Linked DNA regions of Astyanax mexicanus. The protein of the gene in region 1 interacts with the protein of each later gene in a pairwise test. Links are inferred from orthologs where the notes say so. Each region holds a gene or a part of one and is shown on either strand. Other genes may lie near its edges. The genes, in order: afadin- and alpha-actinin-binding protein, top3b, ccnh and zgpat.

What was found.
Region 2: the proteins of afadin- and alpha-actinin-binding protein (region 1) and top3b interact in binary tests that used the Homo sapiens proteins (3 or more experiments, as listed by UniProt). The two-hybrid records come from large-scale screens. The link is inferred for Astyanax mexicanus from reciprocal best matches to the Homo sapiens genes SSX2IP and TOP3B.
Region 3: the proteins of afadin- and alpha-actinin-binding protein (region 1) and ccnh interact in binary tests that used the Homo sapiens proteins (3 or more experiments, as listed by UniProt). The link is inferred for Astyanax mexicanus from reciprocal best matches to the Homo sapiens genes SSX2IP and CCNH.
Region 4: the proteins of afadin- and alpha-actinin-binding protein (region 1) and zgpat interact in binary tests that used the Homo sapiens proteins (3 or more experiments, as listed by UniProt). The two-hybrid records come from large-scale screens. The link is inferred for Astyanax mexicanus from reciprocal best matches to the Homo sapiens genes SSX2IP and ZGPAT.

What each region holds. Positions count from the first base shown.
Region 1 is NC_064423.1:20,581,940-20,589,217, forward strand, and holds the start of afadin- and alpha-actinin-binding protein, read right to left. Parts: upstream 3,015-7,278; 5' UTR 2,786-3,014; intron 846-2,785; 5' UTR 768-845; coding exon 749-767; intron 1-748. Other genes in the region: atrial natriuretic peptide receptor 2, read right to left, coding at 4,615-4,722, 5,415-5,506, 6,494-6,592. UniProt on the Homo sapiens protein: Belongs to an adhesion system, which plays a role in the organization of homotypic, interneuronal and heterotypic cell-cell adherens junctions (AJs).
Region 2 is NC_064429.1:30,942,083-30,949,451, reverse strand, and holds the start of top3b (DNA topoisomerase 3-beta-1), read right to left. Parts: upstream 3,015-7,369; 5' UTR 2,840-3,014; coding exon 2,770-2,839; intron 1-2,769. UniProt on the Homo sapiens protein: Releases the supercoiling and torsional tension of DNA introduced during the DNA replication and transcription by transiently cleaving and rejoining one strand of the DNA duplex.
Region 3 is NC_064429.1:21,849,712-21,857,676, forward strand, and holds the start of ccnh (cyclin-H), read right to left. Parts: upstream 3,005-7,965; 5' UTR 2,399-3,004; intron 531-2,398; 5' UTR 520-530; coding exon 403-519; intron 1-402. Other genes in the region: uncharacterized protein LOC103035564, read left to right, coding at 3,421-4,224. UniProt on the Homo sapiens protein: Regulates CDK7, the catalytic subunit of the CDK-activating kinase (CAK) enzymatic complex. CAK activates the cyclin-associated kinases CDK1, CDK2, CDK4 and CDK6 by threonine phosphorylation.
Region 4 is NC_064423.1:17,419,849-17,427,537, reverse strand, and holds the start of zgpat (zinc finger CCCH-type with G patch domain-containing protein), read right to left. Parts: upstream 3,002-7,689; 5' UTR 2,897-3,001; intron 1,382-2,896; 5' UTR 1,357-1,381; coding exon 758-1,356; intron 486-757; coding exon 352-485; intron 217-351; coding exon 52-216; intron 1-51. Other genes in the region: rtel1 (regulator of telomere elongation helicase 1), read right to left, coding at 4,476-4,531, 4,910-5,032, 5,204-5,431, 6,721-6,822, 6,981-7,118. UniProt on the Homo sapiens protein: Transcription repressor that specifically binds the 5'-GGAG[GA]A[GA]A-3' consensus sequence. Represses transcription by recruiting the chromatin multiprotein complex NuRD to target promoters.

The DNA.
Region 1 (7,278 bases):
TGTCTGTGAAACACACAAAAAAAAACAGAAATAACTGTGGTACAAACAATTCTGGAATTATTTTGCTTGGTAAAAATACAGTCTTAGTCATGGTTTTGTGTGGGGGTAAATATCATGACAAAGATGACAATGAGCATGCTAAGTTTTATCGAGGTTAGTAGAGACACATGAACTTAAAATAGTACTCCAGTGTTATTTCTGGTTCCTTAATTTATTCCCTTTACACATGAGACTATGTCTATGTAGAGCAAAAGAGTCATACATACACTGTATGGAATGTCAGTATGAAGCTCTGGCATAAAACAATGAGTTTAAAAATATACACAAATCAACTCATTCATATCTTTAATCTTACCATTTACCTATGAAGTGTTTTAAAACTTTTGCCATGCCTCATGGAAGCTAAAGAATGCTGATTTAAGCAGCAGGATATTCAGAGCCTTCTGTGTTAATTGTTGATGCGATTTGGATCATTTTAACCCATTATCCACTGTGAGTAGTCATGTCTTATAGGACATATTCCTGGTACACAGATAATGCTGTGGACCCTCGCTCAAACGATTAACCTATTAATAACCTATTTTTACCTATATTAACCTAGTAATTATTTCCTTTACTAAAGAATCCTCAAAGTGCCATTTTAATAAGTGCAGTTAATACTGTGCTTCTGTGAAATAATTAAATATGTTTTTAAGCATAATACTTTCATACAAATCATAGTATTACATATATTATAAAACAGTTTCACCATATGATGACTCTGGCATCTTTCCAGGCTTCCATATATCCAAGGAGCTAATACTGTGTGGATTAGTTATTTAGCGGCAAACACCTGCACAGGTACCCTGAAAACAAAGAGCATGTTAGCAGGGCTTTTCACGTTACTCCATCACTCCATTGCTAACATAAATCCAGCAATCTAACATAATTCCACAATCTTAATAATGTATAATAATACATACATACATACATGCACTAACAGGACAAAAGTTATTTTTTCCTCTGAAACCAAGGATATTAAAAAGAGTTTATCCTGAATTTGTTATTGTATAACTGTCTGTACATACTTTAAGGAACCTACATAGGCCTACTTTAGTCAGACTAATTATATCAAATTCTGAACCAAGTGTTCTAAAAGCATGTTTTTCATATATTCAGCCATGTTGAAAAAATAGTATACATAGTAGACATGTGCAGAACACTGTTATTTTTCATACTTTTGCAGGCTTTACCCTAGCTGTAGTTCCCATGATGCAATTTTAGTATACTGGGGACGTCTTTAACATTCTTTGATGCTTGGAAGGATGCTTCATTTTGAAGAAAGTAATTAATCATTTGAGAGCTAGTTTGAAGAACAAAGCTTAGTTGCAGCCGGCAGATGAATTCCATCACACACCCGCCAAATGTATTTAAAATGGGTTTGCCATATCCTATCGTATGCAAGAATTTCACCAACAATCTTAAATACTGGTAGCACAAAAACACCCTGAAATATTGTGATCACACTCTTCTCATTTACCTTTAAATATCTATTAGAAACAGATTATACACTGCCTGGCCAAAAAAAGTTGCCACCTAGATTTAACTAAGTAAATGATCTGGGGTTGCAGCAGTTGGTCAGGTCTAACTTTTTTTGGCAGTGTATCTTTCCAGTATCTTTTATTTTACTTCAATCCTGGATAAATAGGATGTTGGACAAATGACTTACAATGTTACAATGTTGTAAAAATCTTAGTTAGGGGAGTGGCATATTACATGTATCTTATCATTCATATTTTGTTGCAGCATGTTTTTTTATTTATCTTTATTTTTGTATTTAATGTTGTATATCATTATCGCAAAAAATACCCTGAAATATTGTTATATTATTTTAGGTACATATCGCCAACCCCTAGTATTTAACTATAACACTTGCTTTACAGTAACATACAGCTCTGGAAAAAAATAAAAGACCACTTAAGTTTCTGAATCAGTTTCTATGACTTTGTTATTTATAGGTATATGTTTGATTCAAATAAACATTGTTGTTTTATTCTATAAACTATGGGCAACATTTTTTCCAAATTCTAAATAAAATAGTCATTTAGAGCATTTATTTGTAGAAAATGAGAAATGGCTGAAATAACAAAAAAAGATGCAGAGCTTTCAGACTTGTAAAGAAAACAAGTTCATATTAATAAAGTTTTAGGAGTTCAGACATCAATATTTGGTGGAAAAAAACTGGTTTTAATTACAGTTTTATGCATTTTGGCATGTTCTACTTCACCAGTCTTACACACTGCTTTTGGATAACTTCATGCCACTCCTGGTGCAAAAATATATGCAGTTCAGCTTGATTTGGCTTGTGATCATCCATCTTCCTCTAGATTATATTTCCAGAGGAAACTCATCATTTTTTACAGAGCTGTATAATCAGTCTAACTAAAGCAGGCCTATAATATATGAATGACATCAGCACAAATAACACGTTTATAACGATTACTGTAACGTTTGTACATATAGTTCAAAATATAATCAAGCGCTAATAGTACCGTTATCCAACTGGTTGTAGTAGCAGGCTAAATGTTATGAGACCTGGCCATCTCTTCAGACTGACTGCGCTAAAACCGGCAGTAAATATGTGTCCAGAATCCAGTGAACGAGGCTACAGGAACTGTCAGGTTGTGCGTGGTACTCTTTTAAGCATGTTTAACTGTATAATCTGAGCACACTCACGGCTACATTCAGGACACATGCGCAGCTACATATAAATCCGTGCCTGGCTGAGAGGACGAGGCTCACTTACTTGTCTTTTTAGCAACGAAGAGCATCACCAGGGCATCTGGGGTATTCCACGTCGACAGAGGTTTTAAAGAAACGCCTTAGAAAAATGGTGAACCGCCTTTAAACGCTGTGCTGATTTTGTACCCGGTAATAACATTAAACTGTATCTGTAGCTCCAGCTGGAGGTGCTGCAGTTCTGGCTCTTCTACAGAGTGCCAGTTTCAGCTGCAAAACGAGGACAAGCAGCGACAAGCATTGCGTTGTCAGGCAACGAACAGCGGCCACCTGATTGGCCGCTTACCTCGTATAACCCAAGCGTCAACCAATGAGCTTCGATGCGGGCTTTGGATGGCAAAAAAGGCTTTGTATACAGAATATATAAATATAAATCTGTAATAAATCAGTGCAATGTGTCTATAATAAAGTGTATAGTCAATGATTGATTAACAAAATATATATGAATATTTTCATATATTATTTAACATATACAGTTCTGGAAAAAAATAAGAGACTACCTCAGTTTCTAAATAAGTTCCTCTGATTTTGCTATTTATAGGTATATGTTTAAGTAAAATGTTTTATATGTATAAACTACAGACAACATTTCTCCCTGATTCCAAATACAAATATTGTCATTAAGAGCATTCAAAGAAAAAAAATCAAAGAAACTCATACCTTTCAAGTGGTCTCTTATTTTTTTCCAGAGATTTTCTCTGGGCACGCTATGATGCTTTTTGGCAATGCTACATCAGCAGCTGTTCGAAATGCAACATCAGTTCAAAAAGAGCCAGTGGCTTACGGAGAACGGAGGCATGTGCTAGTCTTCAGGCACCTTGTGTTGTGGCATCACTGGTGATGAGGAATATACAGCTGATTAGCAGCTAAATGGGTGGGACAATCAGCCTAGCTAAATAGGGGAGAAAATGGGAACTAGAAATAAATTATAAATAAATCTTTTTAAAAAAATAGCCTGAGATGGGCAAGTTTATACACAGGTATATCATATGAATTCATATAATACTATTTTTAAAAAAGTAGTTATAATAATAGAAAATAATAAAACGTTATTGCTAAATATATACAAATATTGATAGAAATGTAAATTGTACACCGCTCATCGGACAAGATTTTTCAGTTTAACAGCAGGGAGAGGATTTGATTGCAAACTTTCTGAATCATAAACTTAACTCTGAATCATCCCAAATGGATTGAATGAAGTTTCAACAGTCCAGAGAATGTAGCTGCACTGCCCCACAGTCCAATGCTGGTGGGTTTTACCCCTGTCTAACTGACACCTTTCTGACCTTAGGCATCCTATTCCACAGACAGAGCGTTTTAATGGATAATATACAAGCTGAACCTATTTGTCAGGAATAGTAGCTGAATTCAATCATTAGAGGTGGAATCTGGATACATTTTGGCCTTTTGTGTGTATGTTATTGTATGTAACACAAAGCTTAAGTAATAGACCGATAAATTGAATTAATGTGTCAGGCTTTTATGAGTCAAAAATCTAAATGCATTTAATGTTATTTAATTCTCTGTTATTCGTAAAACGGAATTCACATAATACACAGTTTATTAATTATTAAACACAGATATTTACAAATTACATCAGCAAGTCTTGAAATCCTGGAGTGATTAATCTTGAGCTATGCATAATTTCAGAAGGTAACAATAAAAGCATAATAAATACAAATGCACAATAATTTATGCCACATCACAGAATGAATAGCGTCCGAAAAAGCAATTATTTTGCCAATGTTGCGATGTTAGATTTCATTTTGCATGATACACTTATCAATACAACGATCAGGACAGGAAGGTAGGCATATTCTCTAGACAGTGGTGTTAGCTGCTAACTGGGACAGGACCACACTGTGGCTCTTCATCTTGAAGGAAATGATCCATAGGGCTTTTTTTAGTCTCCAGCCACCAAGTTGTCATCTCACCTTTGCCCTGTAAGACAAACGGTTACAGACAAGCAGTAAATCTTCCCTTGTCGTGTCTCTGTTCGTGAACATCGCCATTAAAATTCAGAGAGGGGGATTCTATTTGTCTCTGAATAATGAATGAGGAGGTAGAAGACACTGTCCAGAAGCCAGCTGAGACCAAGCTCTAATTGAGACATAGCACAGCTGTGCTAGGCCCAACAGCATTCTCTCTTGGGACCCTTGTCATCTTTCGTATGTTCTCTACTGGACAATCAATTAATTTCTAGGATATGCAGGGAGATCAGCTGAAAATAATTATGATACATTTTGAGAATGTTTTTTTTTACTCAGTTACTTGTATACATAGTAAGGGCATAGTGAATAGCTGCATAATTTATGCGCAACATTTTACGTAAAGGCTGTGAGGTTTAAAAGGGGTTACCATGTAAATTATCTTGTCAATCTCTGAAAGGGCGCATTCCATGAGAAAAGGTCAGTTATCTATAGCAACCACAGTGAGTCAGCTACAAAATCCTGCCCCAAAAATGATCCCAAAAAGGAATCCTAAAAAAATTATGTGCATCTATTCTCAAACAATCCTAGTAACTGTAATGTAGTGTAACATTTGTAAATATTTGCTCCATTGCTTTTAGTAGCACATAATGTCTTAAATTAAGTTTCACTTTCACTGTTTGCAAATGATGTAAGCAATCTTACCTTCACATTTAGACTGCCACGACAGAGCAGAACGTATCCCCCAAGAGTGTGGAGGAGATCAGCTGTGGATTCACTGCACTGAATCTTTAAAGCTGCCAGAAGATAATATGGCATTTAAAATTGTAATACTGTAAAACATTAGGTGCTATGTTCCACTTAAGCAAGTACCAAATATATATTTAGGATAATGTATAATGCCATGTAGAAAGACCACATTTTGTTTTTTAATTAAAGAAATTACAGATAAGCCTTTCAAAATATAAGTTAAATTTATCGTGTCCACACTTTAGGTTTATTGCAGCAGCAGAAAATCAAAAATCAAAATCAGAAAATCAAAAAACAAAAATCAGTTACAGAAGTTGTTGCATTTTGTGCTTCCCAAACATATTTAATAATGTCAAGGTCTGGACTCCTGGATGGTCAATCCATTGCTCTGAGGACTTCAATTGTTCTTATTCTCTTTTGTCTGTTTGTTTTTATCACTTTGACCTTCTTGGTCAACTCCACATACTTTCATCTTCTCACAATTGAGCAACGAATAGAAACACCTGTGGATGTTTTCAGATCAGAAGCGAAAGTGGAGCTTGTTTTCCTCCTCTGTCTCTCTGTCTAGTGATGAAAGCTTTCAGTGCTGTTTGATGGAGATTGATACCAGGTCTTGCATGGTTGTTAGGAGTCCCATTTTAAATGGTTTTCTTTTGAATTCTACTATCCTTGCAAACAGATGGCTTATATCTAATTCCCTTAAGAATATGAACTTTTGACTGTAAAATTCAATATGAATATTTGCCTGACTTTTGTACAGTACTGTAAATGTAATGGAATGGAACTAACACAAAAACAAGGTTACTAATATTATTGAGAATATCTTGTGGTCACGTGCAATTAAAAGCATTACACATATACTATCAAGGGCTTGGTAAATGTCATTGACAGTATTTGATGTGACCAAATAAGTAAACCTCATTTAATGCCGTCATTCTGTCTCCAAAACCATTTCTTATCAAAGGCAAACATAGCAGCAGTCATCTGAGCTGATCATTAACCTAGTGTTTACAGGCCACCCTTCACTCACGTACCTTCACTGGTAGACTCCATGCGGGATGCTGTGTTCACAGTGTCTCCAAACAAACAGTAACGTGGCATTTTAGTGCCGACCACTCCAGCCACCACAGGACCTAAACCAGCCACCAGACACAAACATTGCCTTATATACCATGAGTCAAAGTAAATACATTTTTCTGCCTTGCAACAGATAAGACAAACAAACGTAAAACTAGTTTTACATCCTGAGTTGCAGAGGATCATAATGCATCCTCATAATGCAGAGTAAATTTGTCAGAAAAAATGAGGCAAGTAGCAGAAAAGTCATTTGAACAGTATTGTGACTATAGCTCTGTATGTAAAGAAACCAGCTATTAATTTGTATCTTTCTTTAAAAAATATTGACAATTGTTAGCCAATTTACAAGGCATCCTCTGCTTCACTGGTCCCAAAGTCAGTCGTGGAGACGTTTTGTATTTCCATACTCAAACACACCTCTTCTAGGTGTCCTGTTTCTAGTCTGACCTTCCCTTCCAGTGCCCAAGTTGTGTTCCAATAATCAAGAACACATTTCATGCGTTCTTGCTTTGCCACAAAAACTGGGGATGCACCACTTGGTGCATCCAGCATTTCTCTTGAAGTAGTGGCAGTAAAATTGCCAAAACTGGTAAGCTTTGGATAACAGTTATACAGGTGCATCTCAGAAAATTAGAATATTATAAAAGACCAATTGATACTTTTGGCAGTGTGGGCAGTGCGCCAAGTTCTGCTGGAAAATGAAATCCGCATCTCCATAAAAGTAAATTTTACCTTTCATTTG
Region 2 (7,369 bases), on another chromosome or scaffold:
CAATCTGAACAGTCTGGAGAAATACGATGCTGAAGTTACCTACCAGCCCAACAGACTCAATGAGCGCAGCCTGGCTGCATGGGAATATGTGTGAGTATTAGAATTACAGTCTGACTTTATTAGCTGCTAGCTATGCATTTTTAATCTTATCCCTAAAACATACTGGTTAATAAATTCTGTAACATAATTATAGATACAGTAGCTTGTACAACCACTTTTAGAGTAGGGATGCACAGAATATAGTAAATAGTGAGCAGTGCAACACTAGTGCACTTTCCCTCCAGTTTCACCCACTCGAACACAGTTCCACTGCTTCACAGATCAATGCTGTAGGCATTACACACTCTAGCCAACGCCTGGCTCATGGTTCATGTTTATCTGCTCTAGAGATTCTATTCTATCGTCAGCATCTCAAAAGTGTATGTCTGTGTGAGCAATTTGCGCATCTTAAAGTAGCTGAATCACTAGAGGTGATTGGTCCCCTATAGTGGTCCCTGTCCTGTCACTCATTTGTTTTATGCACAGAAAAATATTCTGTAAAATTGGGAAGCAAATTTTATGGAGCTAATTTTGTGCTGAATGTTTTACTCAAAAATATTTTAAAATTAAAATAGTAGATTATATATATATATATATATACATATATATATATATATATGTATATATATATATATATATATATATGAGCAAAAAATGAAGCAGAAGACATTATCTGCAAATTCCACAAAAACACAAAAATAAAAGCAAAAACTGTCAAAATTCAAACACAAATAACTTTCAAATGACTGCAAAGACTAATAAAGTAACCAATTATATTTAGAAATATATTTTTATGTTTTGAATTTGCAGAATACACTTTTTAATTTATTTTTTTATGTAAATCTTTTGGCACAAAATTAACTCCATAGATTTTTTAAAATAAGTGTTTGAACATGATGTGACTGATGAAATAATACTTGGCCCCTCTATAAATATTGTGGCCCCAGAAAAATCCAAGATCCACCATAGAGCTGAATGCATTCACTAGAAGGAGTGTCCACAAACTATTGGACATACAGTATAATGCAGTATAAAACACTCTGACTGCTTCTACTGTTTTGTGTTTTTGATTTATAGGGAAGTGAATACAGACGTGAACCGGGTGCCTCAGGTCATCTATGAAGCTCGATGCCTCACAACTCACTCCTGTAACGGGGTGGACAGCACGTCCAGCGTGGAGAGCGTCCCCCTGTCTTTTAGAATGCCTGTTCTCCGGAAGCACACAGGATGCCCGTTCTACTCCATTGAGTTTGAGTCAATTACCGTTGCCTGTATATGTGCCACATCCAGAAAAAACTAGCCTAATAAAAACTGCCTGTTAGCTTATTATTACTTATTATAATTATTTATTATTTATAGTTACTATTAGACATTTCTGTTGCTGTTCATGTTCCCTGCACCAACAACCAGCTGTTTCAGATCTACCTATTTATTTTCACAATCAACACCATCCGGAATGCTTGTGTCAGTTCAGTGATACCCTGCAGAAAGCTTGAAAATATTAATGAATAAAGAGTTTATTACAAATTCTTAATAAGATTTATTTATTTTTTTTGTACTTTTTTTCCCATAACTATCAAGAATCTATAAAGAAATGTTTATACTACTAGAACTACATAAGCCTGTCAGATTAACTTTTTGTCTTGACAATATATTGTTCAAGAGATAATTGTGATAAATTAAATAAAAATAATAGCATGACAATGTAAAAAGAGCTATTAACTTTTAAATGTCAAACAATGCTAAAAAAATGTGTAAATCAAATTAACTAAAAAAATGAGTATTGTAAAAATGATATATTTTTTTAAAAAGAGGAGGTTATTTTAGCAAACAACTGGTTAATTTTTTCTTTAGAGAAATTACAGATGAAGCCAGAGAGCGGTAAGTACTGTTTTCTACACCTTCAAAAAACTCAGGGAGACGTCTGGCTGACCCACATGGAAACAGCTTTAGACTTTAGCTCTGATTAACATGACTGGACTAAGTTGAATTAGAGGTCTGACAGGTAAAGAGCAGTAATTAGGTCATTGATAAGATGAGGAAAAAAAAACATAAATAAACTATATTGCCCGTTAGGGGTGGGCGATATGGCTCTAAAATAATATCACGATATTTCAGGGTATTTTTGCGATAACGATATACTTGGAGATATAGGAAAACAGAAAAATAATTAATTCATTTCAGGAATATAGTATATAAGAGTATAACAGAATAATCATAATGTGGTAAAATAAATAATATAGCATAAAATAATATAATTCAGCAAATAATATTGCAGAACATTTAGTGCATGCATATAAACTGCAAACTAAAACAATTATACAATAAATAACGTTACACCTAAAGCTTCACAGTAAATAATAGACTACTTTTAAGACACAGAATATCACGATATTTTTGTATCACAATATATTGTACATTATATAATATTGCCCGTAAATGTATAATTTAGTAAAACGTATTTAGAAAAGAGGGTAACGTTAAGTTAGCTAGCTAACTAGAGAAGTTATAGCTGGCAAGCTAACTTAGTTAAAAACTAGGAATACTAGCTAGTTAAATAACTTTAAATAAATCTGTTAAACCATGTTCAAACAAAGCTTAGTCCGCTTTCTGGAAGATTCTGGTGTCTTCCCGCTGTAGAAAACCCTTCCTGTGAGTAAAATACTGAATAATTAACGTTATCTAACCTATCTATAATAACTGCGATAGCTCTATGTTATATTTCTTTACCTTTAGAAAGGATCTTGGCTATTGACTGAGCCAGGGAGGGCTTCTCAGCCACCATCAGTACCGTCCTCATCTCTGCGCTGCTGCTGCTGCTTTTCCCGCGTAATTATATAATTATTGTTAATTGAACACAACCAGCTGCTTTCTCCCAAAAATAATAAACTATATTAATATAATAAACATTCTCTACAAAGAGCCAAACTGCAGCCTAGTGACGCCCAGAGCAAGACTTTCAACATCCGGGTTACGGCGTAACAAAATAAAAGTTTTAGTGAGTTGTTTAAATTACACATTACATTTTTTTTGTTTTTAATAGTAGTAGTAGGAGTAGTATGTATGAATGTAGACCACTGAAGAGACTGAAGGATGGGAATGGATTTTTTTTTCTTTCATTGTGAATATGTAAGGACAAATGTTTTAAAAATGTATATAATTACATTATTTGTTGAACTATTTTTTTTTCCATTTTTTTATAATAATAATAATAATAATAATAATAATAATAATTAATGTATTGGTAGAATGAGTATGTACAAATGACTAATTTACAAAAAACAATTAAATTGTTTATTATTTTATCATTCCTATTTCTCTTCAGGTTGTGTATGTATTTGCAAAACTATAATAATAATAATAATAATAATAATAATAAAGTTTTAAAAGGTTAAACCCTTTCAGACTTGAATTATGATTAAGTGATGGAAAAATGTAAGTATGCTATTTTTTGCCTGTGATAAACCCAAAAGAAGTCTCTAATATCCTCAAATAAACTGTATTTAAATATTAAACCCAATTAACTAAATATTTTATTGCTTTTTTAATGCCTTTTGCACTGGAGTCCTGTGCTTAACATTTTATTTGATATGTGAAAATGATAAACCGTTTATTTTAAAAACCATCCCTAATCCTAAATAAAAAGAGCTATAAATCACATAAAATAATCAAAGACAGAGCTGTCATGCCATAATGTCTGCGTGTTTCTTTTGTGCAGTTGGCTACTGTTTAATTGTCTTATAAACTTTTTTTATTGGCTGGTTGATGGTCTATACGGATGAACAATATGTCTCAATTAGTGTTGTGTGCAACAAAACATCTTTAAAATATGTAATGTCCATTGTAATGGTCGCAAAGTTTTTTGAGAATTATCCATGCAATGATATTTTGTAAAATATTTTAATATTATATTATTATTTATAAAGGCTCATCAGGGGCCAATCAAACCGCTTTATACGGAGAGTGGCGGTGGCGGGTTGCCGCCGATAGGTGGCAGCACGGTACCGGTCTCAGCGCTGACTGCATATCCTCTCAGAAACCTGAACAGCGGAGTGTCGGCAAACCACGGGTACCACAGCAAAACACAACACATAAAAAACACATAAACTACATATTTAATTCAATTTAACACACTTATTTTACCTTAAACACCTTACACTAATTTTCCTGCCGCTCTGTGTGGCTTAAGGTGGCTTTTAACTTGGTAAATGGCGTTGGTAAAAGGCTAATCTGAGATACTTAGCTAAACAAACAGTAACTATACTCTCTAGGTTAGCTAGCTAGTCAGCTAACGTTAACTGTTATTTTTAGATAAAACAAGTAAATTGCTAAATTACACTGAATTTATCTATTTTAATATTGAATTTAAGTTTCTATTATTACCTATACGACAGGTAAAACAGTTTAAAACTAAACATATCTGCACAAACTTATAAAACTCGTGAAATCCGTGGTTGTATCGTTAGCCTAATTTAGCTTAAATTGCTAATGAGGTTCCAGCTAGTAGTTTAATTTGTTAACTTTTAGTGTTATCTGATTTAGGCATACTTACCTTTTTACTGCTTTTAAATGCACTTCAGTCAATAATCTTAAGTTATTTCCAGATATTCAGTAATTAATTATTTTTGTGTTCTGTATTTTAGCTAATAAAAGGCTCATAAAGTAGGCCTGTATATCAGAAAATGAAATGACTCAAGTAGAAGAAATATAAATTAGTTATATAGTTTTTTAGAAACAGGAAACACAATACAGGGAAAAAATAGTATCTACAATAAATACCTAATTAAATATTAGTGATGCACAAAATTGGAAATTTGAAATATACAGCTCTGCAAAAAAAAAAAAAAAAAAAAGAGGGGTTTCTTTGATTTTACCAAATTAAAAATCTCTGGAATATAATTAAGAGGAAGATGGATGATCACAGTCCTCTAACCAAGCTGAACTGCTTGAATTTTTGCACCAGGAGTAAAGGCAAAAGTTATCCAAAAGCAGTGTGTAAGACTGGTGGAGGAGAACATGCCAAGATGCATGAAAACTGTGATTAAAAACAAGGGTTAATCCACCAAATATTGATTTCTGAACTCTTAAAACTTTATGAATATGAACTTGTTTTCTTTGCATTATTTGAGGTCTGAAAGCTCTGCATCTTTTTTTGTTAATTTGACCATTTCTCATTTTCTGCAAATAAATGCTCTAAATGACTATTTTTTATTTGGAATTTGGGGGAAATGTTGTCTGCAGTTTATAGAATAAAACAACAATGATCATTATACTTAAACATATAAATATGAACAGTTAAATGGGAGAAACTGATTCAAAAACTGAAGTGGTATCTTATTTTTTTTCTAGAGCTGTAACTACAGTACCAGTCAAAACCGTGGACACCTCTTCTCTCGTTCAATGTGTTTTCTTGCTTTTTATTTATTTCTCACATTGTAGATTAATATTAAAGACATGAAAACAATTAAGGGACACATATAGAATTATGTAGTAAACAATAAAAAGGTGTTATTACTCCACATTAATCCCCTGATCTAAACCTGATGATCAGCGATGGTGATTTGAGGTGATTGAGTTGAGATGAGCTGGAGCTTCACAGCGTGAAGGAAAAGCAGCAACTATTGTTCAGCACCTCCAGGAACTCCTTCCTTCAAGGTGCTGAGAAAACTATTCCAGGTGATTCTCCCTCATGAAGAAACTGAGATTAAAATACCAAGGGTGCGCAGATCTGAACTCAAAGATAAATATAAATAAATATGTAGTCTTCAGTATTAAATTTACAAAGTAAAAAAATCATAAAAAGTAAGAAAACGCATTGAATGAAAAGAGGTGTGTCCAAACTGTTGACTGGTACACTAAAAAAATTATACTATTTTGAAAATACAGAAATTTATATCAGATTCTCCTGATCCAACATGAAATGATAAAAATGCACTCTGTATATTAAAGATTAGTAACATAAATTATATCAGGCAGATACTGTATATTCTGCCTCTAATTTACATGTATCATGAAAAGTAGTAAATTTTCAGCATAATGAGTATGATATAATTTGTTTGAATGTCATTGGACATCCTGCTCTACTGTGCATGCACACATTGCAAAATTACTGCTGAAATTATATATAGCTCTGGAAATAACTAAGAGACCACTTCAGTTTCTGAATCAGTTTCTCTGATTTAGTTTTTATAGTCATATGTTTGAGTAAAATTACCATTGTGGTTTTATTCTATTAACTATGTACAACATTTCTCCCAAATTTCAAATAAAAAAGTCGTTTAGAGCATTTATTTACAGAAAATGGGAAATGGTTGAAATAACAAAAAGATGCAGAGCTTTCAGTCCTTAAATAATGCAAAGAAAACAAGTTTTAAGAGTACAGAAATCAATATTTAATGGAATAACACTGGTTTTAATCACAGTTTTCGTGCATCTTGGCATCATGTTCTCCTCCACCAGTCTTACACACTGCTTTTGGATAACTTTATGCCTTCACTCCTGGTGCAAAAATTCAAGCGGTCCAGCTTGGTTTGATGGCTTGTGATCATCCATCTTGATCTTTATTATATTCCAGAGGATTTTAATTTGGTAAAATCAAAGAAACTCATCATTTTTAAGTGGTCTCTTAAATTTTTACAGAGCTGTATGAGTTGTCCAGCCCTTCTAAATACTGTAAAGAACTGCACTGAAGCTTTTAAATACATTCAGCATGTGTAAGCTACAGCAAAGCAGTACAGGTGCTTTCATTGTTACATAATGAAATTTGAATTTGAATAATAGTAAGGATTCATCTTAATTGTTTCAATGTTTAAATTAGTAAAATATTGATTGTTTTTGTCTGAGATATATAGTATTTGATGTAAAAGTATTATCATTCTGAAAACACAGTAAAGGACAAGCCAATAAGAAAATCGTCTTATAGTTATTTACGTTAATTGAAGTTCAGACTGTGAAAGACAGAAATAAAAACTAGAAGTCTTAAAATATGGATAAGATTTTTTTTTTAAAGATTTTTGCTAAATAAAAATAAAATAATGAAAATAATAAAACAATTTACACTTTTCTTTTATTATTTTCGAATTCTGCCTTATATGGCAAGACAAAGCATTATACTGACCTTGCTGAACCAACAAACTGCTTGACTGCTACACTTTTAAAATAAAATAATATAGTAAAGAAGAACATTTAAACCTTGTAAAATGTTAATGTGTTAAGCTTCTCTACCAATTTAAAGCAGTGAGAAAGAGAAGGAGAAAGAAAGAGAGAGAAAGAGCACGGTGGTGGAGGTGGAGGTGAGTCATGGTTAGTGTAAGTGACTGATCTATGGCCT
Region 3 (7,965 bases), on another chromosome or scaffold:
GTAAGAATTTGTTTGCATTCATTATGCAACAAAAACATTAGTGAAGTCAGAATGTTGGATGATCGGCACACCAACTCATCCCCAACTCCCAATCATTCCAGAGAACAGGTCTACTTTTCATTACAGCTGAAAGTTGGGGCGCTTTTAATCCCTCAATCCCCTGGCAAATGTATTTATACTTGTTGAACCCCCCTAAATCAATACTTAGTAGAGCCACCTTTCACTGCAATTACAGTTACAAATGTTTTGAGGTTTGTCTCTACCAGCTTTGCACATCTAGAGAATTAGATTTTTGGCTAAAATAAGCCTCAAACTGAAAGACTGAGCTAAAACAAAACATTGTTAGGGTTAGGCTACTGTATTGTATTTGTGGTAACCAGATACTCTAAAACACCTTCTGACCTTTCTGAGGCTGATGGCTTTTGAGCGATACTTCTGGTTAGCTTCATGCCTCATCTGCTCCAATGGTGCTTCATTGTCAAACGTCCAGTATTTTTTCTGGGAGCTGTTGTGATACATAGCAGGAGATTCTGTAGAAATAGAAAAAAAAATAGTGGTTAGTTTGAATAATACTGCATTAAAACCTTCTAAAAATGCATTTGAAGAAGAAAAAAAAAACTTTCAATGGAAGTCAATGTAAACAAACAAAAAAAAAAAACGCTCTTCTGTCGCTAGTGACAGAGACCTCCAGGGCTCCATACTAGACTCTATATAATTCAATTTATTCAATTCAATTCTTTATTAATGACCACACATTACACAATTCGCATGTGTTACAGCATAACATGCTCACATCTCTGTGTCAGAACAAACAACAAAAACACAAACAATGAGTTGACGAATACATACAGAGAAAAACAATCTGTTAAACCTGGTTTAGTTTACAGTAAACTGATTTTGTTGGCAGTGACCTGTAGCGTCTTCCAGAAGGTTTATTGCTGATTGTGTGATACCTCTATAATACAAGGCGCCAACGGATGGGAGGGTGTGCCCTGTGATTTTTGATGATTTATCCATCATACTTTGTTTGATAATTTTCTGCATGAATGAATGTCCAAATTACCGTAACACACTATTATAGTTCAGATGAGTATAGTTGAGATGAGTATGCTTTAAATAATGGCAATGTAAAACTGAAAAAGATTTGTTTTTCCCCAACTCTGATTTTTCAGTTGTTTGAGGAAGAACAGTATTTTATTAACTATTTGTAGATTTGATGTAAGTGATTGTGTTAATTATGTAAGTACCCAGAAATCTGAATGAGTCTCTGGTGATATAGGTCAAAAGGAAATGGGTATTTTATATGTAGATGAACGTCAAAAATAAGCTAGAAGTTCCTGTGTTTTTAATATTAGCATTAGCGCTAGCTAGCTGATAGCAGCTAGCTGTTTTTAACTGGATTTTTTTTTTAGCAGGGTACTTAGCTAGATTAGCTAGCTAAGCCTAAAACACCGACTGTGGTGTGGGTCAGTAATATATATGGGACAGTTAGTTAGCCAACCTAGCTAGCTGGCTAATGGTTTAGGTTATATAATTAACCTAGTTTATTTAGCTAGCTAGCTTGGCTAGCTAATGTTTGACTAAGCTAGCTAATGTTAGAGTTAATTCCTCCTGAACTTGTGAATTTAACATATTTGTGGCACAATTAACACTAACTAACGTTAACCTAGCTAATACGTGTAGGGTAACTACGGTTAGCTTAACTCATTCATATCAAAAACACTTCTATATTCTCTATATTCAATTTTTTTTTAAATAATTACTGAGCGAATAGAGCGTAAAGGTATTGAAGCTCATTCCCGCCACTTAAAATAATAAAATAAATAATAAAGTAAACTGCCATCTCATTGTTTTGAGATACTAACTCATTATTTTGAGAGACTTATTTTGAATTAACGTTACTAAGGCTTCCCCCAAAATAAACACACTTGTTATCCCAAAATAATGACTTATCTCAAAATAAATTGTGCTGGATTTTTTAATTTTATTTCAGGTGGCAGGAACGGGCTTTCATATAGAGACTTCAATGCGCCACTTAAGGGATTGTTAAGGGGTGTGAATGTGTTTTAACCGGGCATAGAAACTAACGCTAGCTAACTAACGTTAAGTGATAGAAACATTCTTATGATACTCCCTTAATATAGCATCTGCATCAACATTTATCATGAATTAATAATACACTATCAACTATCTATAATAAACTAGCACTACAGTCTGTTAAAATGCCTTATTAAACCAGAACAGTAACATAAGCTAGGTTATATATTGTGTTCAGCATCATGGTGAGAGCTAAACAGTGGTAGTTAATATCTAATTCCCCAATAAATCCTTTATTTACTTTCATTTAAAGGACAGAATTATGCAACAGACAGCACAGAAAGCAGCTGATCTCTCTTACCTGAGTTTAAACAGGGCCTGAAGTCAGAGTTTAGAGCTCATCTGATCCAAAAACCCAAAAACACAGAGCAGTGCTGAAAATAAAACACAGCCAGTTCACTCCTTCTTCCTCCGCGGACTGAAGATCATCTACACACAGTTACCGCCACCTACCGCACAATATCCGACCACTGCAGTGTTTAAATTATACACAAATTTAAAATATATAACATATATCATATGTAATATATATTCATCAAGGTTTTGACCTGTTCTTATGTTCACGAATACTTTATTATGAGAATAAAAAGAAAACAACTGAAGAGAAGAAGAAAAACGAGGAAATAAAGAAATTTAAAAAAAGAAAATAACAGGAACTGTGTTATTGCAACAGGTGGCAGTAATGAGTGAGGTGACATTAAATGGAATAACACGTGTGGTTTGTTTAAGTAGTTTTAATGCTGACACGGGCGTTCTGTTTCTATTTCTGAAATTATTCAAAGTGTGGAATTATGTGCTCGTTCAACAAACCTGACAAATAGGTAAGTAAACAAATAGGCCAGGGAAGATGTGGTTACATATCTGCTGATGTCAACATTTAATTTCTGTTAAAATAAAACAGAAATTAGACCAGATCTACACAGTACACAGAGTATACTACTACTACTACTACTACTACTACTACTACTACTACTACTAATAATAATAATAATAATAATAATAATAATAATAATAAAAACAATAATTATAGTATTGACAATAATAATAATACATTATTAGATTAGATTAATTTAAGATTGTTTTTTTTTGGAAACATACTACAACTACTACTACTACTAATAATAATAATAATAATAATAATAATAATATTTTGTGTTTTGTTATTATTATGCACAGTATTTGTACAGGAAAGCAAACCTGATCTTTCCTAATTCATTTTCCCGCACTTTTAAAAGTCTACACTAGAAGGGACTTTTAAGCGGTTAAAGCTGCGCATGCGCATATTTCGCCACTCATTCATCGTTCGTGCGTGGGTAAACAAGCATGGCGGAGAAAGTACGGAGAAAGTACTCGATTGAGGATAAGCGCAGACTGCTGGAAATGTACGACCGGCTCCCCAACATGAGCCAGAAAAAGGCGGCGATGCGCCTGAACATCACCCAGTCCGTGCTGTGGACGATCCTCCGCAACAGGAACATTATAATGAGGGGAGAACCGCACCACGTCCGCTGCGGGAAGGTGCCGAGGCTGGAGGCCGCGCTGTGGCGCTGGATCGACGCGATGAGGAGGCGGGGCGCCGCGCCGTCCGACCTTTTGATCCACAGGAGGGCCATGGAGCTGGCGGCGCGGATGGGGCTGACGCAGTTCAGGGCGAGTCCGAACTGGTACCGAGGCTTTAAGAGGAGGGAGAAGACTGTGAGGGAGCTGTACCACGTTCAGCTAGAAGAACAGAACCAGACGGAGAGACCTCAGCCGGGCAGTGCAGCAAACCTCCTACAGAACCTCCAGCAGAACCCCCTCTATAACCCCCTGCAGCTGAACCAGCAGCAAAAAGAGGAAATGCAAGTGGTGGTAAAGTATGAGGGCCAAGTGGAGCGAAGCGAGCTGCTCTCAGTGAAACTCGAGCCCGCCGATCCCACCGTGGTCACTGCTGAGATCAACGGGGGCATGAAGACCATCACAGTGCCTTCCCTGCACCAGATGAAGGAGGCCATGCAGACTCTAGCCACCGGCCTGTTGTACAGAGGCTTCTGTGACTTTAAGCTGCTCCACCAGTTCGAGAAGGAGGTGGCTAATGTTGTGAAGAGGTCCCTGGCTCAGGGGAGTCGAGACAGTTTCCAGGCCTGAGTGGGATGGGGGGGCTGTGGGTCCTGTGGTTTCACGGCTTTATGGTTTCATGACTTAATGGCTTTGTAAAGAAGATCTTGTCAACACCATCTGTTGGGGTTATGGATTTGGAATGATGATCATCATTTGTTGAGATCCAGTCTAGATTTTACTTTGAGGTCAAGATTGTATTGATTCCTGCCTTATATATGGGCTAAATAGGGGCACAGTATAAGAGTTTTTGGCCAAAGCAGATTAAATAAGTTCATATATGCCAAATCCTGATGTTTTTTTAAAGGTCTATACTAGCTTTTGAGAGAGACAGGCCAGTTCCTGGCTTGAGTGAATGGGAACCGATGTGCCCTGAGATTTCATGACTTCGTCAACACCAGCTGATGGTGGATTGATGATCATTTGTTGAGATCCAGTCCAGATTTTACTTTGAGGTCAGGATTTTGATTCCTCCCCTTTTTTATGCGTTAAATAGGGGCACAGTATGGCATTTTTTTTGGCCAAATCAGTTTAAATGAGCCCCTATAAGTCTAATTTAGATGATTTTAAAAGGTCCACGGTTTACAAGACTGCTGAATAATAACAAAGGAGTTTTATGGTTAAAGAAACCCTGGTGTTGAAAGCTCACTCACAGGGCTGAAAAACAGAGCTTCAGAACATCTCATTTAATTTAGATCATCGCATTAAGATCTAGTGCAGTTTTAATGCAGTTTACATTGGTTCCTGCCTATATATGGGTTAAGTAGTGGGGCAGCATGGGTGTTGTGGGTCAAAGCAGATTATATTATATATATATTTTTGTACCTTGTATCTCGAAATGTAAACACGATCTAAATGGATGAGCAAAACACTAAGATATGACATTAGTGGAGATCTGTATTTCATCATCACCTGTAGCAGTTTGAAATAGAGAGGCAGAGGACCAATGGTAGATTGTGTGTGGCTGGAGGCTGATTTTTGAGAGAGGTTTTCAGGCCAATCTTTTCAGCAACTCCTAGCCTGCTGCTATTTTATCTTTTTTTACAGTGTATATCAGGCAGTACTGTTCATTGTGCGTACTTACTGTAGTGTAAAAATGTCATGGTTCTATAGAACTCTAACTACAATTATTTCAGTGAGTGCAATGCTAGCTGCAGATACAGCTTTAGGCTAACATGCTACAGTTTCTTAGCCAGTTTAGAGCATGGGTGGGAAACCAAGGGCCAAAGTTCAGTAGAGTTTTTCCTGCTTAAACACTTCTAAACAGATTATTTGCTAAAAAATTTAGCTAAATACCAGCTGTGGTTTAGCTGTTGTGTGATACATACCATATTAACTCTTTCTATGCTACTTTTGATTATATATCTTGGAAGTCTTGCTTGATTCTAGGATTGACATATTGTGCATATTAGAAATTCTGGATGTAAGCAGTTTCTCTCAATAAGAATAATTCAATGCCATTTACACTTTCCATTGCTAAACAAGTTGCTTTAAGCTCAAAATGGTTAGTGTAACGTTTACCAGTTGAATTGTCTGACTGTATCAAGCTAAATTCGAAAATTGGGCGTAAAACTTTTTTTTTCTTTTTCATTCAGTAGAGTAAAGAAGAAATGGGTTTTTATATATATTTCTAGTTTTTAATTTCAGTCTTGCGCAAATGGATTTTCAAGAAAAATTCTAAGTGAATCTTTCTGAATTTTTTTTCCTCAGATTTGTCCATTTTTGTATCTTGTAATCCTGATGGTATAATCCAACTTGTAAAATGCGAAAATGGAAAAATCTGAAAATAAAGATACATTTTTTTTCATTTGTGAGGTACAGATATTAAAAAACTAAATGTGGAAAAATTTATACATTTCTTGATCAGTGCACCACATTAAAAAAAAGTTTGTTAAATCTAATTTTCTATTTTTGAATTTAGCCTCAAACACTCAGGAAAAAAAAACAATAAACGTTACACTGACCCAAAATAATGGTGCTTCTAAGGGAATTTCAAGTGATATATAATTTTTGGTTTGATAAAGGGTAAAAAAAATCCCACTACTTGAAACTTTTTTAAAAGGTTCTTTACACGTATATCCCTTACAAAAACGCTTCTGTATGGATTGATAAGTATCGATAACTTAAAGAACTCTAAATACCACTAGATTCCACTTTGAGTTTCTAATAAGGCCATGATGTCCACTACAAAATGGCTAAAGTGGTCTGATCATCATCTACAGATGACGAGATGACAAATAATTACTTTTTTTTTTTGCTTTTTTAGGTTTACAGCAGGGGGTGTTATTGAGGGCAGAATTCTATCACAGTGTTTTTCCAGCTCAAGCATGTTCAGTTCAATTTAATTTACCCATTTATTGATTGGTATGGTTTGGCCGTAAATACACTACAATACTTTCAGGGTCATCAGATCATTGTATCATTGAATCTGATGTACTATTTATACTACACAACCTGTTGTCTTGTCGTTGGGAATTGAGGCATCTGTGATCACCCTGCAGACTCTCAGATCAAACCTAAACCTTTTTTTTTTTTTTTTTTTTTAGCAACCAAGCCAAATTTAGGCTTTTAATTTGTAGTCTTCAAAAAGCGAATGGCATTTGAAAAAAAAAATGCTAAAATGTAGCTTGAACCTTGTGTTAACTATGTGTTTGAGCTAGTAAACTCGATGCTTGATGTTCATGGGCCTTGGTTTACAGAACACACGTAAAGCTTGAATGTATACGTCTACATATTTTTTAAACTTTTGATACTCTGTCAAAAATTCATAAATTCACTTTTACAGTACTGTATTGCAGTCCTCCTCTTTCTGGATGATTTTTGCAAATGTATTAAGTTTTTTTCTAATGTAACTGTTTATTGCCCTGTCTGTCTATTGTTGGAGGAGCCTGTTTCGTCTTTACTTTATGAGGACACTTTGGGTCAACTTTGAATGCTTCTTTTTGGATTTCCATGACAAAATATGGACTGAATATTGTAAGTAACACTAGTATGTACAGGTTAAAGCTTTGATGGACCCTTTTCAAGTCATCTGTGGACATCAGTTCGAACTATTTTGGAGATTTGTGTTGCGTTTTACGGCATTTTCAGAACATTCCTTGTTTTTTGGGCCCAACAGTCTGCTATTCCATACTGCTTGCTGCTCTAGTTTAGGGTATATGGATGAGGTGGGATGTGTAACACTACTAAGTCATAGTCACTAGAGGTCACTGTTGTCTTCAGTTTGAAAGTATTACTATTATCTTTTTTTTTCCTGTTTTTAGACTAGTTTTAGTGAATGAATGATTGGTTGTAGTTTTTAGTTCTCACACACATCACATTAATTTTAAATGACTTTATGCATTTTATATTTTTATATAAATCAGTCTTGAGGGGAAAATGATATGAAAAGAAACTTCACAGAATGAGTGTTTGTTTTAGCTGCTTATACATACTGTGCCTTTGTGTCTTACATGACTGATCTGGACAAATGTGTCGAGAACATAGCAACATATATTACTGGATACTGTTAGACACGTTTTGATATGACTGTTTTTTTTTATGTTTTAAAATCGGCAGAAAACATGAATGTTCAACTTTTTACAGCCTCTGTCTTTTTCTTGAATGTCATTGAAATGTTACTTTATTTCAGCAATTCTGTTCAAAATGTGAAACTAAATTATATAGATGTATTACACACAGAGTGATCTTTATTAACTGTTATTATTCCTCTACTGACAACTTTTATGTGGATGTGGATGCGGATTTCATTGTCCAGCAGGACTTGGCACA
Region 4 (7,689 bases), about 3.2 Mb from region 1:
CAACTTCAAATTTTCCTGGGGGATTCTCCACACAGACTTAAAGAAACAAACCTTTAGCATAACCTGTTTCACATTCCTCAGAGTCATCTTCCGAGTCAGAGGAGGAAGAGGAGGACTCATCCGGTCGCAAAGGGGGAATAACACTATCAGCCTCAAGGACAGCTTCCTTTAGCAGCAAGGAATCAAATTTAACCGTGTAGAAGCCATCCTCGATCTCTGTGAATGTGTATTTAAGTAAAAAAAAAAATTAAAAGAATAAAAACAAATTTATACAGAAAAATTAAGCATGAAACTGCCATGTTCATCATTGACGTTGAAATAAATCTTGACAGAACGGCTGAGGAGGTGTACCTGTGATTTTGGCAGGATACCAGATGCCGTCTTCATGCTTGGCCAAACACGAAGATCCTGCCTGCATTTGTGTGAGATCTGCTTCAAGAAATTCCCTCAGCTCGGACACACATACCACCTCCCCATGGGAGTACCTGAGTGACAACAAACAAAAAGACAGGCAGAGGCGGCTTATTATTTCCATATTACCCAGAGATGGCTGAAATGTCAATCACAAAACCAATCCAGTACAATAACACATGCAAATATGCTTCCACCTGAATGAATCTAAATTCTGTGCAAAATACCCAATGAAAAACAAAACACCAACAGATTGGTGCCATTTCCAATCTCAGGGTTATATAAACTAAAAATGAAAAACTCAAACTAATAATTAAACTTAATTAAAAAAATAAGGTTTTCATACCTGCAGCTATCCATAAAGCGGCACTTGCCATCCAGAAAGAAAGGGCAGGGCTTTATAGACTTGTGTGTAGGATAGAGGTAAAGGACTCTCACTCGAGCCTCATCCCCATCTGGTTCCTCTGAGCACACTACCATGGCATTGTGGTACTCAAGTGTTCCCCAAGAGGTGCGATAAGGTGCTCGTACTTTAGTACCACTCATGTAGTCATCTTCTTCTTCCTCCTCCTCCTCCTCATCATCCACTTCCTCTTCATCATCATCAGGCCCGCGGCTTTGTGCTACCTCCGCAGCACTTTCAGAAAGTCCAGAATAAAAGGCTGCAAACTCATCATCCAAATTGTTATTCTTCTTGGACAGTTCTTGGGTTTCTGCTGGCGCTTCCTGCTTTGTTTGGGAATCCTCAATTGAGGCAAAAAGTTGGCTCTTCTTGACTGAAATCAAGCTGGATTCAGTGAGCTCAATAAGTTGTACAAGATCCTCCTTTAACTTCAGCAGGTCTGCCTGCTCTGAAGCACCCAGACCACAAGCAAGTGCAGCTTCTACCTGCTGAAGCTGAGCATTGTAGGTCTCAATGGCTTGTTGCAGGTTGCCTTCATCCATGGTAGGGAGCTATGAAAGGAGGTGCCTGCAGATAAAGAGGAATAAGAGAATAATGCAGTAAAAGCTTTTATATAACATTTTTATTCTGTAATTGACTTGGGTATAAGAGAAAACAAGTTGTATATGTTATGCAAAGTGTAATTATGGTTATGAGACAGAAAGGCAGATTTAATCCTTTATGCCATTAATTGTATTCTTAGGGAGAAAATATATCATTTGTGAAAGCATGGAAGTCCCTGTGGATATAACAAACTTAAATTTAGATTTAGAATTATGATGACAAGCTATTCATTTGAATCAGGAGTTTTAGAGCAAGGAAGCTCCCAAAACATGCAGGCGAGAAGGTGGTCTGTAGGACCAGAGAAAAGAACCACTGCTACATCAAGCTTAATCTAACTAATGTGGTACAACTTAAAAAGGCAACAAAAACAGTTTACAAAAACAGTAAGAATATAAACAGCCAATTATATATTTTTGCACATATTAATACAGCTTGCAAAAAATTCTGAGTTTATTTGATTCTTAAACCAAGCTGAACTGCTTGAATTTTTGCAACCAGGAGTGGAAAAAAGCTTTCCAAAAGCAGTGTGTAAGACTGGTGGAGGAGAACATGCCAAGATGCATAAAAACTGTGATTAATAACCAGGGGTATTCCACCAAATATTGATTTCTGGACTTTTATGAAAATAAACGTTTTTTTTTTTTTTGCATTATTTGAGGTCTGAAATCTCTGCATCTTTTTTGTTATTCGAGCCATTTCTCATTTTCTGCAAATAAATGCTCTAAATGACATTATTTTTATTAGGAATTTGGGAGAAAAGTTGTCTGTAGTTTATAGAATAAAACAACAGTGTTTATTTTACTCAAACGTTTACCTATAGATCCAAGATCAGAGAAACTGACGTGGTCTCTTACAGACAAATTAAACAGGGGATAGGGATAAGGATAGATATAAAGAACAAGGAAAGGGAGAGAGTGGGTGGGTAGATAAGTAGATAGACAGATATTAACGATACATGAATGGATGGAAAAACAAAAAATGTGGTTTGTTGCCTATGGGCAGCACTATGTCCTTGATAGTTAAGTACATGTATCTCATTCAAAACGTAGTATTTGTTTTATTAGCTAGATAGTCTCGCCAAAATATTACAGAATAACATTTTTACTGACGAGCTTCTGCCTTCTGACCTTCTCCACAAATCAAGCTAACTAACTACCTAACCAGCTCACTTCCTTCAATAAAACCACTCTAGCTAATAATTAGAGTAACCAACTACATGACTGGTGGAACAAAAGTGTTTTTTTAAATCTAAAATTAACTAAGAATATCTGTGGAAGTCGCCATATAACTACCTCAACACAGTGAGCTAGCTAAACCTAGCAAGCTAATAACAAACCCGGCTTGTAGCTAGCTAGCATTTGGCTGTCTAGCAGTTAGCTTAGCTAAGATAATAGTAGCTGTTTAACAGCCTGGTGAGTTTAGTCTTCATTAAAAGATATTAAATAAGAAGTAAAAAAACACTCAGTATTTATATCTTACGTTACATAGTGTTCACGTCCGAGCGAATAAACTCTGCTGCGTTTCTGTAGTTTAAAGCTGCCCTGTGCGGCTCTGTAGCAGCCAGGGTTGCCAAGTCCAACGAAAATATGCAGCCCTAACTCAGTCTTAAACCCGCCCTTCAGAAGCTTAAACTAGCCCAAAATATGTCTGTTACACGTTTGAAGTAAATGACAAAAAACAATACGTGTACGACTTTTGTACACTTTGAGTATTTTGTTCATAAGGGATTTATTATTAGTATTGCTATTTACCTAAAAGTCATTAATAATATTGTAACATTAGTAACATTTAATAGTAACATAATTAGCAAAAAATGACTTTTACTGTTCTTGCCCCTCCTGAACTCTCTTCTCTCCTCTTTAATATTTTATTTTCATCGCCCTGTGATATCTTTTTTTTTTTTGTTAATTTTTTTTTTTTTTGGCGGCTGCGCTATTTTTTTAAGTAGCCCCCCCCCCCCCAAAAAAAATGCACCCCGCCACCCCTAAAATTTCAAAAGAGAAAAGATTTTTAAAACAAGCCAAATTTGGAGGAAAAAACGCGAACCTGGCAACTCTGACCGCCCACAGAGACACTACCTCAGCGACGTCACTCACATGCTCTGTGAACCTGAACCTTGGGGATATAATATGCTTTTTTCATACATTTACCTAGATATAGAGTATATTATTAATATCTTTATTTGTTCTGCTGAGAGTTGTAATGCTGTGGAGACAAATGAAACTTAAAAAAAAAGCAGAAACATGAACAGCAGGATTGGACAAAGGAATAATGATTTAAACCATGTATTTGAGGTAATGCAAAAATACTCCCTTTGAACCATTCATTACGTAACAAAAAGTACAATGTACTTGCCTTGACTATAGAAAGATATTATGGCTTTTTAATATCCTGTCTTTTTTTTTTTTACCAGACTCAATTGCTTAATCTACTCATTTTACATGAAAATAACCCTTATCTTAACTCTAAAAATAACAATTGCCTTTAATATAATGTCATTAATTATTTGGACACTAGTATCTATTAAAATATTCTAAACATAACACAAACAATTTTCATTAGATAAACTTATTGAGTTTATATTAAATAAATAAAAACTTGTATAAAACAGGCAAATAAATACATTTTACTTTATTGTACTGCTTTACTTATTCAAATAATGTATACAGGCATAGCCTAATTACATTACAGTAAATTACATTAATTTACTTTACATAACTATCCAGCACAGGTTCAGAAAGTTTCAATGTGCCTTGTCACAGTTAATATTATCCACAAATGGGAAACGAGACAAGAAATAAGTACAAATATATATTTTAATATAAATTTGAAAAAACACAAATACCATTGTTTTTATTAAAATAGTTAAGATAGCATAAATCATACATAATTTTTCATCTTTGGTCAATGAAACATTACATAAACAACCAAAACAAATCCTGCTTTTTTTTGTCATTCTGATAGAGAAAGAGTTCACTTAATCCTAATTAATCTGCATATCGGATGGTATTTCTACTTTTAACCAAACAAATCAGTATGTCTGGCTGGATTCCCCTGGTCAGGAGAAGAAGGATGATATCTTGCTCTGTGATTTTCCTGCTGAGAGTTGTGATGCTGTGGAGACAAATGAAACAAGACTAAATCAATATTGCATTATACTTCCACTATTAAATATATTTTAAAATATAATGACAGAATGAAGAATGAAAGAAATCAATGTTTTGTTTTTCAAAAAGCTGAATCTACTGCAGAACATGTGAGGTTTGGACTTGAAATGAATAATGATTTCTTCATGAAAATCAATAAGGATTAACAAATACATGTTGTGCTTATCCATGGAATCTGTGTAAATATCATCTGAGCCCATATTTATTAAAGTCCTACGAGTACGAATGCTGATATAGGACTCGACCATAATCTTAAACAGTAGTGCTTAAAGGACTTTCTGATCTTAGGCTGTGATGTATGTTAAATGCAGGCCCTGAATTCTACCTGGAACTGGGTGACTGGAAGCTTCTTCTGATTCTTCACAGGTCACTGAAGCACTGCCAGTCAAAGACTTTAACATCTCAGAGAACTGCTGACTGTGGTGTGGCGGGATGAACACAGATAACCCTAAACAAAAAAAGAAAAAAAAAAGAAAATCATCAGCAAAAGTAGCAGTTAAGTTTTCATATTTCTCTACTTATTTATAATAAGTATGTTTCTTATAAATAAATATTATATTTATTTATAATATTATAAGAAACAGCAAAATGTTTTCCTGGGTATGGGATTAAAACTCACGTCTTAAAAGGACAATGTCTTCGTCCCGCTCTGTCAGCAATCCCACAACTGTTGATACCATCTGCTCATAATTATTTGTTTTCTTGTACGTCTGCAACGCTATAAATAGTTGATTGGTTTTTTCAGAACCAATAGCTTTTTTAATGTCGGACAGAAGGGTAGCGCTGAACTGGCCATCTTTTCCTGACGTCTGTGGCTTCTGTGGTTTCTGATCCTTCACTGCACCCACTGTAAATGGAGAAAAATAGAGCAAATACCACATTAGAAGTACCATTAGACCTTAAGAGGTTGAAAATTGAGGACACAACACTTATTCCAGCAAACTAGTTTATTATTTATATGTGTGTGGGTCATTATTTGTGTTTTTTGGCATATACTTTTAATCTTCTAACTATTTATCATATTTATAAGACTTCAGACTACACAGAAACCCACCTCTGCCACTTTTTTATTTTTACTTGCATGTATTCATGTGTTTGTTCACCCTGTCATGGCAAGCTGCATGACAGGGGTGGACAATTTAAATAATAGAATTAATTTAATGAAAGCATGGTTGACTCAAAGCTGAGGATACACTTATTTTGATTCAAAAGATACAAAGATTTGCTGAACATTCAGAAAGTATCTTCAGTCCCTTTATTAAAATTAAATTAAAAATTAAACAGTGTGAGGGTTGTGATCACGCGGATGTCAGTGGTTAACTTCTTTTTTTGTAATTCTTTATTTTTTGAAGTGTGTCCTTCCAAGAATTGACATTTACAATGTACAATTTTTCTTTTGTTATCACTTCTGATATTAAAATTATCACATTTTATTTATGCCTTCAATATAAAAAAAGTATACAGAACAAGGAACTATTAACACGGAGGATGCCTTAAATCACTGTGCAATAAAAATGAAGTAAAACCGATGAGAAAGGAATAAAATATATGTTTTCTTGGTAGTAGTTAGTCTGTTTGTGTTTCAGTGAAATCTGGTCTTTCATTCTTTATGTAAATTGTCTATTTTGACAATAGTTTTGTACATTTTCACATCTGCAGCCTTATGGCAACTTTTTTTTTTCCAAAAAAAATTTACATTACATATACTGCATTGACCATATTAATCCATTACTGGGGAGTGGTTAATGTTTCTTCTTTAATGAAAAAGCTAAATAAATAATTGTCTAAACTGTCTAAATTACTATATATTATATATCTTTAAAACTTTTAGAAAACATACTTATATTACAAAAACGTATTTTATTTTTGAGTGTATTGTTACCAGAGTTTGTATGAATTATTCTACTGACACAAAACGCATGTTATATTAATACGGACCCTAATCTAAAAATAAACAAGATCTCACCAACATAGGTTCAACTATTTTGACCAACATTAGCATTTTTTGCGACATTAGTCTGTAAAAGGACTGAACGATATAGACGGAACAATAGCATTGCAATATTTGTGTTCATTTTTTTATTTTTTAACATAGTGCATGAGTAGCAAAGCTTAAGACAGATTTTGGGTACATACCACCACACAAATTGTGTGTTCCCAAATGAGAGCCGCCTTGATTCAGTTGTTTGCTCGAGTCTAGTTCTTTGATTGTGGCTTTTTCAGTAGTTTCCGCTTTTACTGTAAAAAAAAAAAAAAGAAAAAAAAAAAGAAGAAGTAGTAGCCATCGGTTCACATCAGTTTTACACGTTTTTTTTGCTGGTTTTATGTGATGTGTTTGGTTTAAAAGATAAAAAAACTATAATGCATGGTACCATGCCACAGTTACAACATGCTACCTGTTTGTTGTCTGAGGGTTTCCCTCTCTTCCCTTGAGAGCGAGTGCTCATGCTTGTAGCCACAGCCCTGGCCTGTAAGCACCTGACACTTCTCATCAAACTGCTTCTTGTGGTGTGGTCGAATAAACTGGTAGAGCCCTAGAGAGAGGGGAAAAAATAAATATATGTAAACACGAACATCAGAAAACATTGAGATTAGAAGGTGTGATGCATAAAAGAACACAAAGACAGAAAGCTGTATTGTTTTTCTCAATATATGGCATTCTAGCTAAATAAAAACAAACAAAAAAAAAAGCCTGTTTATTGGCATAAACGTTTTTTGGAAATACAACATGCATCACAATACAGGGGTTACAATTAAATGTATCTTGATAAATCAAGTTCAATCTTCAAGTAGACAAAGTTTTCCACTATTTCCCAAGTGATAAAAGACAGAATGAAACAACACTGATATGTCCATGTGTAAAACACTATTGGCAAGTTTTCACCAAATACTTAATTCCATGAAAAACTCTATAGAAAATGCATTCTACATTTACATTTTGTCACCTTCTTAAAATAATCGCAAGTCATTTTTTTCTTTAGCAAAATTTTAACTTCATGATGTTGCAGCCACCTGTAGTAAAATCGCCTACACTCTGAGTTAGTCAGATTATTTTAGGATAATGTCTAGCGTGTGACTTAAGCTGATTTATTATACCTAAATTAA